Ovis aries: one gene and its partners. The protein of the gene in region 2 interacts with the protein of the main gene of each other region in a biochemical or structural test. Links are inferred from orthologs where the notes say so. Each region holds a gene or a part of one and is shown on either strand. Other genes may lie near its edges.

Region 1 (4,254 bases), on a different chromosome or scaffold from region 2:
AACTTTAGACCCAGATTTCAGAGTGGCTTTGCTAAGAAGTGGACTTCATAAAAGAGTACTTAAAAGAGCCAGGACAGAGTTGGACGGTTTAAGAACAGAAATATAAAGTGTATCTTTGCACATCTGGGTCACGGTGTGGTGTCAAAGTTTACATTTGCGCAATACTGGTTTATAAAGTTTATGCCCAGTGTTGTACATTTCTTGCAAGCCATCTTTAAAGGCAAGTGATGAGGTCATTTCCAGTTTAATATTCTCTAGGGGAAAATTAACTTCCTGTTTCTTATTTACACATGTATTACACTGAAAATAATTTTTGAACCTTTTGTGTCACCTAAAGGCTGAAAGAGCAGTAAGTTAATTTGATAGAATATAAAATGAACACCTCAGCTACACTGTGCTGTCCCAGCCGGGAGGGCATGCCTTGGATACTATGTTTCTGCCCTAAACATCTCACGGGACAGTATTCACAGAGAATCACAGGTGGGCTAGCGCGCCATTGCCAACATAGGAGGCCTGATCACCTGACCAAACCTGGCTGACCAGGATGGGAAGCTCTGGCCCCGGAGCACTGACTACTCGGAATAGAGCAGGGTGGGCGATAGGGGCGTACTCCGTCCATGCGCACCGTGTAGTAAAAGCAAGCGTTTAAAATTTTTAAAGTACGCGAAATTTAAGCACATTTAAATATCAACTACAAAAAACCCTCGCGGGCATTTGTTCCAGACCCTCCTCCCCGTGGGGTACACCGTGAAGCAAGCTCAGGCTCCTAGGGGATGCGCACCGTAACCGCCAGAGTGAGGTGAGAGGGTGGGGAACTAGCGGGCCTGCCATCGCGCAGGCGCAATTCCGGCCGCAGAGCCCGGTGGTCTAGCTTCCTTTCCAGTAATTTCGCTAGCCGTGACGTCATCCTCGTGCGCCCTTAACGGTGCCTCCCAGAACCCCCCCAATTTATTTTTTGGTTAAAGAGATAAGAAGGAATGAACTGACCTCTTCCACCCCACTTTGTTTTTAGTCCTTCACTCTGGACGCACCTACGCTTTGAGCAATGGAGCAGGAGAGGGAAAGAAAAGCACTCAGAGAACCAAACCGCGCCGGCCAGGCATGACTCGGCGACGTCGCCAGCCGCCTTACCCGGCGTGCCCCGCGCGGCGCGGGCAGAGCGGCGTAGGGGGAGGGGCGGGGAGGAGGAAGCGGCGGTGGCAGTGGCTGCTGCGGATGTCGCTGCGACTCATCGCCGTCTGAACACACAGCGGCTGCTGAGCGCCCGACTCGGGCCTGCGCCGGAGCCCACGCCAAGCTCCGCGGCTCCTCGCCCGCCAGGGCGGCCCTGAGCCAGTTGTCACTGAGGTAGCGTGCCCCACATTCTCCGCTGCCCGGCCAGGCCGGCTCTGGCGTTGCCTGGCTCCCGCTCCCTCACCCGCTCCCTCCTTTGCGCCTGAGTCACCGCCGCCGCCATGGCCGAGAATGGTGAAAGCGGCGGCCCTCCAAGTTCCCAGGACAACGCCGCCGCGGCCGAAGGTGCCGGCGCCCCCGCCGCCACCGCCTCCACGGAACCCAAGATCATGAAAGTCACCGTGAAGACCCCGAAGGAGAAGGAGGAGTTCGCAGTGCCCGAGAACAGCTCCGTCCAGCAGGTGAGGGCCGCGCTAGGCTCGGGGCGGGGTGGGGATGGCGGCAGGACCTCCGCCAGCGGCAGGAGGAGACTGTTTTGCAGGGGCTTGAGGGTAAGGGGTCGTCTCCGGAGGTGCCCTCGGCCATTCTCCGGGGTCTGATCCCAAATTAGATCACACCCAGGTTTGTGGGTTTGCTCCTGGGGACACCGCAGAGGTTTGTGGCGTGGCCTCTTGGCCTGTTTATGGGGCTCGCCGATGCCGCTCTCCTCGGCGCCTTCCTCTTGCTCCGGCGTCCGCCGACCCCAGCCTCCTCCCTCAGCTCCCCGCCTCGAGCCGCCTCCCTCTGACTCTGCACAAAGGAAAGAGACCCGCCGCCTGGCTCGGGCGGAGTGGAGGCTGGGCGAGGGTTTGGCTTAGCCCGGTCTGCGGTTTTGTCTCTTGAAGGGGGGGAGAAAAAAAGGGGGTGCTCATTGTTTTACCTGCCTGGGGATTAAAGTAGATTTTTGGGATGAGGAGCACGTGTGCATTTAGTTCTGCGTTTTGACCGCTGAAATCTTTCCCACCTTCCAGTCTTTAAAGAAAAAAATGAGCTATGACGTAGAAATTGCTTTCAGCCAAATCTTAATAGAACTAGGCTTAAGGAGAAAGGTGGATGACTTTCGTTGACGACATGCTGGTTCTGTTTTTTTTTTTTTTTTCTAAGTGTATTTGTCATTCTTTAGATGCCGGTCGTTGGGGAGGTTTTTGTTTGATTTTAGAGGAATAGCAACGTTATTCACATGTTAGCAATTGCAGTCAGATGAAAGAGCACGAACCTGGAGTTAATGGAGGAAATTTAAAAGTAATTTACCGCTTAAAATCTATTTAGGAATACAGTTATTGCCGTTAATTAATGATCTTGAGGAACTTAAATCATTTTAGTTTTTGTTAAATATACGTCCCAGAATATTTCCGTAATTACTGAATTGATCTCAGACAGTTGGTCAGCAGATACCAAGACAGTGTGAACAGTTTATGAAGAAGCAAAAATGAAACGTACCTGTAAGTTTCCCTGAAGGAACAATAAATAATTGCGATATTTGTTTATATGATTATGAACGGTGGTGTGTTCTGTCAAGTAGTAAGAATGTGTAGAAACTTTGACCACCTTTTGAATCCCTATTTTTTTGGTCTCTCAATTTTCCTATAAAATTCTCCCTTAATTTTTAAAGTATTTTCCAGCATACAGGAAAGTTGGAATAATTGTGCAGTGAACTATCATGTGTCCATCACCTACATTTAGCATCTTGCTTTATTTGCTTTATCAAACAATTAATCATTTATTGGTCAATTTTATTTTTTGGATGCAATTCAAAGCAAGTTGCAAGTAGTAGTACATGTTACGCTTTTAAACTGTGGTGTTGGAGAAGACTCTTTAGAGTCCCTTGGACAGCAAGGAGATCAACCAGTGCATCCTAAAGGAAATCAGTCCTGAATATTCATTGGAAGGACTGATGCTGAAGCTGAAACTCCAATACTTTAGACACCTGACGCGAAGAACTGACTCATTTGAAAAGACCCTCATGCTGGGAAACATTTAGGGCGGGAGGAGAAGGGGACGAAAGAGGATGAGATGGTTGGATGGCATCTCGGACTCAATGGACATGTTTGAGTAAGCTTTGGGAGTTGGTGATGGACAGAGAAGCCTAGCGTGCTGCAGTCCATGGGATCGCGAAGAGTTGGGTACAACCGAGCAACTGAACTGAACCATTGAGTTCAGGTTTTCAACTTAAAATTTTTGAAGGTAAATTTGACTTGCAGTGAAATGCAGTCGGTTGCCATTCCAGGAGTTTACACAAATACATACACCTGTGTAATCCGAAGTCTTCTGGTGTCTGCTTCTGAATGTGCTATCTAGGTTGGTCATAACTTTCCTTCCAAGGAGTAAGCAAGCGTCTTTTAATTTCATGGCTGCAGTCACCATCTGCAGTGATTTTGGAGCCCCCAAAAATAAAGTCTGACACTGTTTCCGCTGTTTCCCCATCTATTTCCCATGAAGTGATGGGACCAGATGCCATGATCTTAGTTTTCCGAATGCTGAGCTTTAAGCCAGCCTTTTCACTCTCCTCTTTCACTTTCATCAAGAGGCTTTTTAGTTCTTCTTCACTTTCTGCCATAAGGGTGGTGTCATCTGCATATCTGAGGTTATTGATATTTCTACCAGCAATCTTGATTCCAGCCTGTGCTTCTTCCAGCCCAGCGTTTCTCATGATGTACTCTGCATATAAGTTAAATATAGAGTTTCACATAAATGGTATACGGTATACACTCTGTTGGGTAAGGCTTTTTCATTCAGCTTAGGTTTTGAGACTCATTATTATGTTACTCCTTGAAAGAAAAGTTATGACCAACCTAGATAGCATATTGAAAGGCAGAGACATTGCTTTGCCAACAAAGGTCCGTCTAGTCAAGGCTATGGTTTTTCCAGTGGTCATGTATAGATGTGAGAGTTGGACTGTGAAGAAAGCTGAGCACGGAAGAATTGATGCTTTTGAACTGTGGTGTTGGAGAAGACTCCTGAGAGTCCCTTGGACCGCAAGGAGATCAGTCTTGGGTGTTCTTTGGAAGGAATGATGCTAAAGCTGAAACTCCATTACTTTGG
Region 2 (3,500 bases):
GTGTTAGTTACTCAGTCATGTCCAACTCTGTGATCCCATGGACTGTATCTGGCCAGGCTCCTCTGTCCATGGGATTCTCCAGCAGGAATACTGAAGTGGGTCACCATTCCCTTCTCCAGGGGATCTTCCTGACCCAGAAACTGAACCTAGGTCTCCCGCAATGCAGGCAGATTCTTTACACTCTGAGCCACTAAAGAGGCCACACACATATAAGTTTCAACTTCGATATTAAACAAAAGCTGGGCCTTGATACAATTTTAAAGTTCTCTCAATTAGGTTATGCAAATGCAAAAACATTTAAACCATTTATACATAAATTTATAAAAGCTGACATTTTTAATAAGAGTGCAATGTACTGGAAATGAGCAAATAAGGAAGTCTTTCATGTTTCCTATTCTAGAATATTTGGGAAGCTGCCTACCGTTATCTGTTTCAACAAAAATATCAGTGTTTCACTTGGTGAGCAAGCTATTGTACCAAATAAAAAAAGGAAAATAAACTCTGTATCCCAAGTTAACTAATATTTTATCAAAAATTGTATTAATATAAACATTGTTTTTAAAGACTTTATATATATCATAATTCCCATTTCCAGATGCATACTTTTCTAGTCAACAGAAAACACAAAACTGATTTCTTTAAAATATTTATTCTTTAGTACTTTTCAGATGTTTATTTAAGGCACGTGTATTTGTATGTGCATTAGAAGCAATTATTGACCATTTGGTTATAAGGACCCTCCTTGTTTCCTACCCCTCTACAGCTTAATATGAGAGACAGCCTTCTTCCTGCTTTACCCACAGCCACCCACATCTGTGCACTGTCGCCCACTCGGGGCCTCTCTCTCCAGGAGGAGTTCAGTGCCCAACCACGTGCTCTCATACCAGCCTTTAGTCAAGGTTTAAAGAACTGTGGCTATTTCATTTAATGAAAAAGAACTTAGTTACTTGATTTCTTTGTAGAGCTGACATTAGAAACTTCCTTAAAAACTACAAGTGTATGTGCTTTCCCTGGAGGAGGGCGTGGCAGCCCACTCCAGTGTTCTTGCTTGGAGAATCCCATGGACAGAGGAGCCTGCTGGGCTGCAGGCCATAGGGTCTCACAGAGTGGGACACAACTGAAGCAGTGCACGCACAAACGCACACATATACGCTTTAAAATTCTGTTATTAAAGAGACAAAGACAAGGATGACATAAAAACATTTATTACCTTTCTGTTTTCATTGGTAATTGGAATTTTATCACCATTTTCCTTTAGATCATACATCATCGGATTACCAAAAAGATCTGTCTGAGATATCTGGAAAGTGATCATCATATCATCTTCCACATTCCCTTCATACTCCAATAAGTCTTTTAAACTCTGATACAGAACCTACCAATCAGAAAAGGAAAAATTAAGGTTACCACACAACTATAAAATACAACAATCTGTATCACTCTTCTTGGGAAAAGATTCAAAAAACTAACAGTAAGAATTAAACCACAAACAGTACCCCTCTTCTAGTAGTTTCTATGCAGACATAAAGAAAGTCAGTCAGTCAGTGGTTAACGCGTCCCTCTGCTGAGAAACCCCACACCAGCTACTTAGCTATGGGTCTCACACTGTGCTCTACCGAGACCCTTAGAGGCATCTCAAGGGTAAGGGGGGGGCTAGCTGCAGCCACCAGAGCCACTGACTAAGGGCAGCTCTGACTCAACCCAGCAATCTCATGATTCCATTAAAAAAAAAAATTAGAAACACTTTTCTACAGAATCAACCTTGTAAAGCTGACTTGCTTGTAACAAGTTCTCCTTCAAGTTTTTAAGTGTTTATGGCATTTCAGATAGATAATAAAACAAGTTTATCTCACTAGGTATAAATATTAACAAAGATTTCAAATCAAAGCTTTAAAAATTTTATATAAATTAAATTCTGTATTTGCTTTTAAATAAAATCTAAAAGAATAAAAAATGACAAGACTTACAGGATGAGAGTCTCCCAAGTCAAGAAAAGTTCCTTTTTTCCCCATTAGCTTCCTGTAGACAACCATGGGAAAATGTACATCCAGTATACAGTTATTGTAAATAGCCAAACCCAGTACTATGCCAATCAGAGTGAACTGACCCTCAGTTTCAAAAGAGGATGGATTAAACCAAAACAACTTTGTAGATTCATCATATGTGAACATACCTGTAAGAAATGATTTTTTTAAATGCATTACTTTCATATTTTATTACAGATGAACAAATAATTATACATATAAAATACAAAAATAAATATAAAATAATTACACATGTAAACTTATTTGCATTAGGGCTTTTTTCTGTTATGTCAGGACTTACGAAAACAAAGTTCCAGTACATATGAATGCTACAAATTGTATAGCATATATTTAAAGTAATAAGCCATTCTGTTGGCATTTTCTAAGTTAGGAAAACTGTTCATTAAATTCAAGTTCTCTAATCTTCTATTAACATGAATCAGAAGTTAACTTGCATTCATATTTTTACCACTGAATGGTTGAAAAACGCAAAAGAAAAAAGAATCATATTTTGAAAATGTTCCACTTATTAAAACATATTTAATCCACATGCATTGCTTTAAAAAACAATTTTGAATTTCATTAAGAAAAAGTCTTTTTCCTCCAAATTGCATAATGGTTCCATGAAGTTTTTCAAGCACCTTTTTAACAAAGATACCAAGTACTTAAACTCAGGCAAACTTGATAAACTTATGCCCAAAACCAAAGCCATTTAATATACACATTAACTGTGAGCCAAAAAGTAAAACAAAACTAATTTGTAGTCTTCTTTTAATTTCACATGGTCTTCACTATTTATATCACTCATTTAAAAATAGTAATTAAATAGCCATTACCATGGTAGACTTATCTCTTTCCTTGTAAAGAAATATCTAAGATAAATGTAAAATGATATTTTAATTGACTTAACAATTTCATTTTACTATAAAATGTTTTGTAGTTGCTACTGTGAAACTAAATGAAAATATTTCAAGAATTAGATCTAGGAAAGAGAGGGAAGTTCCAATAGAATAAACTTTAAAAATCAACATTTTTTAAAGAAATCAACCAGTTTTTAAGTTTTTTAAACAGTTTTTAAAATGTTTAATTTTCACATTTAGTTGAATTTAAATATAAAGGGAAGTTTAAAGGGTCCCCTTGATCCTAAGAACATGAATTTAAGACATTTTTCTAATGCAACTTAATGTTCACGAAACAAAATTTTATAAATTACCTAATTTATACTTGAATCTCAGTTTATATCCAACTTTTTTTTACAGGCTGAAATTACAAATCTAGTGAAGTGCTAAAAACTTCATTTAATTACAAATATGGTATTAACTGGATCAGAACAGTTAAGAAAAGCTCCATAAAGGGTGGCTCTTCTAAAATATTCCTTTTTGGTATTTCTATTGTCATCATTTTAACTGATTTACTATCAAGCAAAATTGTTTCATGTATGTTTTTTCTTAAAAGTATTTCTGCATATAATGTAAA
Region 3 (2,919 bases), on a different chromosome or scaffold from region 2:
ACTGTTGGGGAATTAAGAAATTCACATTAGCTGTTCAGATAGCCAGATTTATCAGTATATTTTAAGATAGATTATTCTATTTCCTCAGTGCTTATAAATATATGAATATCATTGACCCATATAATTTACTGTCTCTATACAAAGAAGCAAAACAAACCAAAATTCTAACTAATAAGGCATGTTTGCTAAATACATACACATTTTTTTTTACAGGTTGTACAGCTTGCTATTGTTAAATATTTAAAGCAAGAACTAGTATTTAAAGATTGAAAATTCTAGTTATCTGTTTTGGAAGGACATTTCTCACTTTACTCCTTGTCATTTATTTTCATTTAAGCAAGTCTATATTTCTTTGACCCCTAATGGTAAAGAAAATAGAATAGAATATCAGAATTATCCAGAAGTTGATAGAGGTCAAATATCGTTAGCTGGGCGGGAGCCCACAATGCTTGGATAGAGATGAATTTGCTAGTTTACACACTAGCAAGAATGGAAATTTACCTTGACTCAATTGGAAGTGGATAAAAGCAGTACTATCGCCATGATCTAGAACTTGGGGACAATGCCAATGCATTAGCATGGAAGCCCAGTCAGAAACACTTCCTGTGGACGATGGGAGGACCAGCCTCATCGTACTCCTGCTTACTGATCCACATTTGCTGGAACGTGGACAGGCTGGCCAGAATGGAGCCCCCAATCCAAACAGAATACTTCCGCTCTGGGGGAGCGATGATCTTGATTTTCATGGTGCTGGGTGCCAGGGCTACAATTTCCTTCTGCATCCGGTCAGCAATGCCAGGGTACATAGTGCTGCCTCCGGACAGCACGGTGTTGGCATACAGATCCTTGCGAATATCCACATCGCACTTCATGATAGAGTTGAAGGTTGTCTCGTGGATTCCACTGGACTCAATGCCCAGAAAGGAAGGCTGGAAAATGGCTTCTGGACATCGAAAGCGCTCATTCCCAATAGTGATCACCTGCCCGTCGGGAAGCTCATAGCTTCTCTCCAGGAAGGAGGATGCTGCAGTGCTGACCATCTCTTGCTCAAAGTCTAGGGCCACATAACACAGCTTCTCTTTGACGTCACGAACAATCTCCCTCTCAGCCGTGGTGGTGAAGCTGTAGCCTCGTTCTGTCAGGATCTTCATGAGGTAATCGGTCAGGTCTCTGCCGGCCAGGTCCAGACGTAGAATGGCATGAGGCAGGGCATAGCCTTCATAGATGGGCACAGTGTGAGTGACCCCATCCCCAGAATCCATCACGATGCCGGTGGTCCGGCCTGAGGCATAGAGGGACAACACAGCCTGGATGGCCACGTACATGGCAGGTGTGTTGAAAGCCTCGAACATGATCTGAGTCATCTTCTCCCGGTTGATCTTGGGGTTGAGGGGTGCCTCAGTGAGGAGGATGGGATGCTCATCTGGAGCCACGCGGAGCTCGTTGTAGAAGGTGTGGTGCCAGATCTTCTCCATGTCATCCCAGTTGGTGACCACTCCATGCTCAATGGGATACTTCAGGGTCAGGATGCCTCTCTTGCTCTGGGCCTCATCCCCCACATAGCAGTCCTTCTGGCCCATGCCTACCATGACCCCCTGGTGCCGGGGACGCCCCACCATGGAAGGGAACACAGCCCTGGGGGCATCGTCACCACCAAAGCCTGCCTTGCACATCCCTGACCCATTATCCACCACCAAGGCAGACAGCTCATCATCACTCATGGTCCTGTCCAGAATCTTCCAGATGGGTGAACAGAAGTTAAATACAAAGACCAGACTCTGGTGTACAAGCGAGAGAATGAAGAGGCTGACAACTCTTCAGAGCTGCCTGCAGAGAGGGGAGCCTGTGCTGTGATGATAGGTATTTAAAGGTACACACTGGCACCTCCCATGTCCTGTCCCACCAGTTCTCAGCATTTCTGGGTGGGGTTGCCTTTGAGGTATTAATAATTATGATGATACAAATCATTAGTAGACCTTCCTTCATAAGGGGAAAATTGGCTACCAAGTGGCTGAATCTCAGGTTACTGTAATTAGGCAACCTACACAGGGTTGTCGGTTTGCTTTGGTGCAGTGTCTGGATAACGATGATGATGCAATGGGGCATAGAAATGCAAGATGAAAGAAAGCTGGAGTGAGGTATGGCTAATAATGCCAAAAGGGGCGGTTCCTCCCTAGTTTGCCCTCTGGGTCCATTTTCTGTACCCTAGATTTAATTTTCCATTCTTAATACATTGTTCTTATGAATTTGACTCTGAAAACAACTTTTTCAAGATTTTATTCTCCATTAGATTCCAAACCCCAAAGCATATTATCATGATAGAAACTGTTTTAATGAATAAAAATAATGAATGACCCAGAGAGGCCTCACAGCTGTAATTATTATGCATTTGTGTCATGTAAAAATTTAGAGATATTTAAGAGACTTCTAGTGCATTAGTGATCAAGTAAAATCAATAAACTACTACAGATTTTCTTTCCTGATATAAATTCTAATAACCAAATTTCATTAAGCACTATGCTTATTAGACATTGTTCATAGAACTAGGTTTGTTGGGTTCATGTTGATTGCATAGGGGCTGAATGTTCAGCCATCTTGCATGATTTATTAGATAAAATGCAGATTATAAAATATTTATGTGCAATAATTCTTGTTTTATAACAATGAGCAAAGTTTAGCAATAAGAAAATTTTAAGTAATATTTGAACTGATCTTTAAAACATTTTGATCTTTAAGATTCATATTATGATATCAACCATCTCTGTAACTGTTAAAATGTATCCAATTGAAATAGTATTAGCTTTACTTCAGTTTTAGGATGTATTAAGCCCTGATCCTATCACAGGAAGTTTGTCTGCATTTTATTTTTAATATAGAAATATAGATAACCTGGTAATGTATGTATCATGATAAAACAGA
Region 4 (4,044 bases), on a different chromosome or scaffold from region 2:
GAGGAAATGGCAACCCACTCCAGTATTCTTACCTGGATAATCCCATGAACAGAGGCGCCTGATGGGCTACATTCCATGGGGTCACAAAGTCGGACACGACTAATTATGCACGCACGCACGCTGAAGGAAGAGGCATCTTGCTACTCTGTTTCAGGAGATAAGGTTCCTTTTGCACTGCCCAGAGGGAATCCTCAACCTGGCTGTGCCCCAGATTCCTCATCTGTAAAATGGGAATGATGATAATAATACCTACGTGAAAGGAGTGTGGTGCGAAGTAATGTATGTAACAAGTGCCAGCTCTTACTGGCATGAGGCCAGGGTAGGCACCCAGCAAAGAGGTGTCTACTGAGGGCCCCACTCCCAGAGCCCAGCATCCTCCTGAAGCTCCTCCAGCAGGGTCCCATCCTGGACCCAACCCTGCTGCTGCTATCCTGCGCCAGGCCTTATGAATGACGACGGCCGGCAGCCCGACGACCTATGACCCGCGGCGCCTGCCGCGCCCCTCCCCCGCTTGGCAGGTGGACAGCGGCTGCGCCGGGGCTGGGGTTGGGGGGGCCGAGGCGCCAACCTTGGCTGGCCCGCAGCCGCTGCCGCACTGAACGGGGGCGGGGGACTGCGGCGCGCACGGGGCCGGGCGAACGCCTGCCTGGACCGCCTCCTGGGCCTCGGAGCGCTGCGCGGCCGCCGGCCAGCGGCCGCCGGCGCGCCGGGGCAGCAGACTGCGCCTCCGCCCCGCCCTCTCACCCAGGGATTGACACTGAACGTTCTGCCGGGGCTTGCCGGACAGCGCGCCTCCACCAATTGGTATCCTCGCTGGGCGGACCCCGGACCCTGTCGGAAGCCTCCGCCAATCAGACGTGTTAGCCCGCCCGGTTGGGGTCTCGCAAGCGCTCGAGTGGCCAAGCGTCCTAGGAGCGCGTCATGAGGCCGAGAGCCTATGGCAGCGCGGGAGGGTCGCGAAGGGCCAATGAATGGCGGCGCAGCGCCGTCAGTCAGGGCGGCCTAGGCCAATGAGCTGCGGGCTGCGGGGGCGTCACGGACAGCAGCAGCGGACTTGGGCTGAGGTTCCCGGGCGGGCGGGCGCGGAGAGACGCGGGAAGCAGGGGCTGGGCGGGGGTCGCGGCGCCTCAGCCAGCGCAGCCAACCCGAGGGGCCGCCGCCGCCGCCGCCCAGCGTGCTCCGGGGCCGCGGGCCGCCTCCAGCACCCGCCGCGCCGCAGCTCCGGGACCGGCCCCGGCCGCCGCCGCCGCCGCGATGGGCAACGCCGCCGCCGCCAAGAAGGGCAGTGAGCAAGAGAGCGGTGAGTGCCCGGGCCGTGACCCCGATCCCGGCCTCGCGCTGCCAGCCTCCTCCCTGTCCATCACTGCTTGGCCCCTCCCCCCACGCCCCCCCCCATTTCTCTCTGCTTACCCCCAGGCGCCCCTTCCCCCTGCCTGTCCAAGGTTGGGGCCCGGGGCCCGCAGAAGACCTCGTAGGAACCCCGTTGCCAAAAACCGCCCCTCCACTGCAAAGACTGTGCTCCCCCCTCAGCTGTCACTGCCAACCATGGCACGTATGACCGCTGGGCCCCCACATGGGGCCCTATCACCACCCCACTCCGTACTTTCCTGGCCCCTCTCCTTAGGTTCTAATCCCCCCCCACTTCCTCACTCACCTCTTCCACAGATGAGACTCACTGCCAAACCCCGACCCAGGCTTCTGCCAGCCTGGGAGTGCTATGGGGTCTGCCTCCGCCCAACAGGGACCTTGGCCACTTGGTGACCACACCCCTACCCCCTCCAGCCCCCGCCATCTTTCTCCTGCCCTTCCCCTCTTCACCTTATCACAGCCCCTCTTCAAACCCACCCTTGAGCATTTCCCAGAGCCACTTCCAGCATTGTTTTTCCCTTCTGTGTCACTTGGCATGGGGGACAGGCTCTTTCTGGGTCCCTCTGCCCCTCTCTCATCCTGTCACTGTCACTGCTTCTCTGCTTGTGCTTCCTTCTCCAAGCAAGCGTCTGTCCCTGGCCGGGGTCGCACACTGTTTGTGAACCTAGAGAACTGCTTCTGTGCTTGCGAAGCCAGGTTTGAGCCAATCGTGCTGGAACTCCATGCGTCCTCTTCCTTGGCTTTGGGGGTGAGGGGTTTCAGCAGAGAGCCCCTTCCCATCTCCTGCTGTGCAGTGAGCTCTAGGCTCTTTGGAGGGCCCCTCAATAAATGGTTGTGTCACAACTGAGGCTTGATCATTCACCCAGTCCCTCAGGCTTCTTTACCTGCTCCTGGCTTGGGATGAAAAGTAGGGGATTAAGAGTGAGTTTACCAGGGCTCATTCAGCTAGAGCTGGGATGGTGAGAAAGAGGACTCAAGGGATGACAGTTAGGAAGAGTAGTGGGTGACATCTAATGACTCGCTTTGCCAAGAGACAGATTCTGATCATCCCCAGGGTTCACCCAGAGGTGGCCCTGTTTCCACCTTAAGCCCCCAAATCATATAGGCCTTTTCCAGCCAGCCAGGGAAAGAGATTCTGTACCTGGAAATGCCTTCAGAAATGGTCTTGAGCTCCTTCCTCAAGTCATCCAGCTCTCAAATTGTCATCACTCCAGCCCTAAAGTTGGGCCTCAACTAGGATCCTTTTCCAGTTACCCAGAAATAGAGTTGAAAAGGAATGGCCACATCCAAATATGCCTTTCCCAGTTATTTGTCTCAGATCCCAGTGTCTGAGTTCCCTGAATGCTCCCTCCCAGAAAGACCCAAGCATGGAAGCCAGGGAACTTTATTTCCACCCAGATTCAAATAGCAGAACTTATAGCTGCTGAGCAGCCATGGAGAAGCCTGACATGTCACTGATGGGCGGGGGAAAGGGAGGCAAGTGCCTGTAGCTGAGCGCTTGATGACAGAGGAGCAGGTGGGTAGTGACCAAAAATGGTCTGGGCATGAGCTTGGAGGGGATAGACAGAAGGGGAGGGGCTGGGCCCCCAGCAGGTGAGGCCCGCCCAGAGGTAGAAGGTAGAAGCAGGCAGTTGTATATTTCAGTGACTCAGTTGAAAGTTGGGGAGGTGCCATAGTCCTGGAAAACTTTCAAGGCGTATCAAACACATGCAGTGGAGAGAGGTGGGGTGGCAAAGCCACACAGGGAAAAGGATTCCCAAGAAAAAGATCAGAAGCTCCAGAAGGAACCGCTAATTCAGAGTACAGGCTGGACAGCCAGGAAGGGACTATCAGGATAAAATAGAGCCACTATTTACTGGGCAGCTAGGATGTGCCAGGCTAAATGGTCTTCATAGATCTTTCTGCTCAAGTGATTTTTCATAACAGGCTGTTACCTGAATTTTACAAATGAGCTCTCTGAGTTTGACATAGATGATGCCACAGAAGCAGGATTCACATCCATTTCCATCTACCAGCCAAATTCCTGGACCCCAGAATTTCCCAACTCAAAGCTGCCCCCCTGATTTTTCACTATATTCACTTCTATTTTGTTAACGGAAATAAAAATTTTGACTCACTTTTGTTCAGATGTAAGTTTTGATCTGTCCTGAGAAATAATATAAATGAAATCATGGGATTGCTATACCAGTTATATTCTCTCTGGTACACCTTAAGATACAGTGTAACTAGAAAGGCAAAATATCCTTAACATCAGTTCGTCCCCAGCCAGTGGGACCTGGTTACACTTTGGGAAACACCCTAAGCTGTACTTCCTTCCAGAGATTTGCAGGGGCTGTTGGAGAAGGAGACAGGATGAGTAAAGAAGCCCTTTTTTGCTTCAAAGCTCCTATTCTGAGAGGATGGAGTTAGGCAAAATTTGCCCTCTCCCGCAACTAGGATGGGGTGGGGGTAGGGATAGTAGCCAGGCCAGCCTTCAGGGGGCACCTGAATTTCATCTGCCAGACATCAGCCCAACTAGAGTAAGGAAAGTGCCAAACCTTAGTAGGCACCATTTGGCATCCTGGAGCCCCCTGTGCTGCCGTCTCCATGCTCGGGCAGGACAGCCTTGGCCTCCTCTCAAGAGGGCAGGAATTTAGAACCAGCCCGGGGATGGGGTGGGGGAAAGTGTTAGTCACT

What was found.
Region 1: the proteins of UBE3A (region 2) and UBQLN1 form a complex in vitro, tested with the Homo sapiens proteins (2 studies listed by BioGRID, with this or other methods). The link is inferred for Ovis aries from reciprocal best matches to the Homo sapiens genes UBE3A and UBQLN1.
Region 3: the proteins of UBE3A (region 2) and ACTBL2 form a complex in vitro, tested with the Homo sapiens proteins (2 studies listed by BioGRID). The link is inferred for Ovis aries from reciprocal best matches to the Homo sapiens genes UBE3A and ACTBL2.
Region 4: the proteins of UBE3A (region 2) and PRKACA form a complex in vitro, tested with the Homo sapiens proteins (2 studies listed by BioGRID, with this or other methods). The link is inferred for Ovis aries from reciprocal best matches to the Homo sapiens genes UBE3A and PRKACA.

The regions. Positions count from the first base shown.
Region 1 is NC_056055.1:36,050,383-36,054,636, forward strand, and holds the start of UBQLN1 (ubiquilin-1), read left to right. Parts: upstream 1-1,454; coding exon 1,455-1,634; intron 1,635-4,254. UniProt on the Homo sapiens protein: Plays an important role in the regulation of different protein degradation mechanisms and pathways including ubiquitin-proteasome system (UPS), autophagy and endoplasmic reticulum-associated protein degradation (ERAD) pathway.
Region 2 is NC_056071.1:1,627,715-1,631,214, forward strand, and holds part of UBE3A (ubiquitin-protein ligase E3A), read right to left. Parts: intron 2,174-3,500; coding exon 1,968-2,173; intron 1,376-1,967; coding exon 1,211-1,375; intron 1-1,210. UniProt on the Homo sapiens protein: E3 ubiquitin-protein ligase which accepts ubiquitin from an E2 ubiquitin-conjugating enzyme in the form of a thioester and transfers it to its substrates.
Region 3 is NC_056069.1:21,992,623-21,995,541, reverse strand, and holds ACTBL2 (beta-actin-like protein 2), read right to left. Parts: upstream 1,722-2,919; coding exon 591-1,721; 3' UTR 501-590; downstream 1-500. UniProt on the Homo sapiens protein: Actins are highly conserved proteins that are involved in various types of cell motility and are ubiquitously expressed in all eukaryotic cells.
Region 4 is NC_056058.1:9,913,766-9,917,809, forward strand, and holds the start of PRKACA (cAMP-dependent protein kinase catalytic subunit alpha), read left to right. Parts: upstream 1-1,244; 5' UTR 1,245-1,254; coding exon 1,255-1,300; exon of another isoform or gene 1,301-4,044.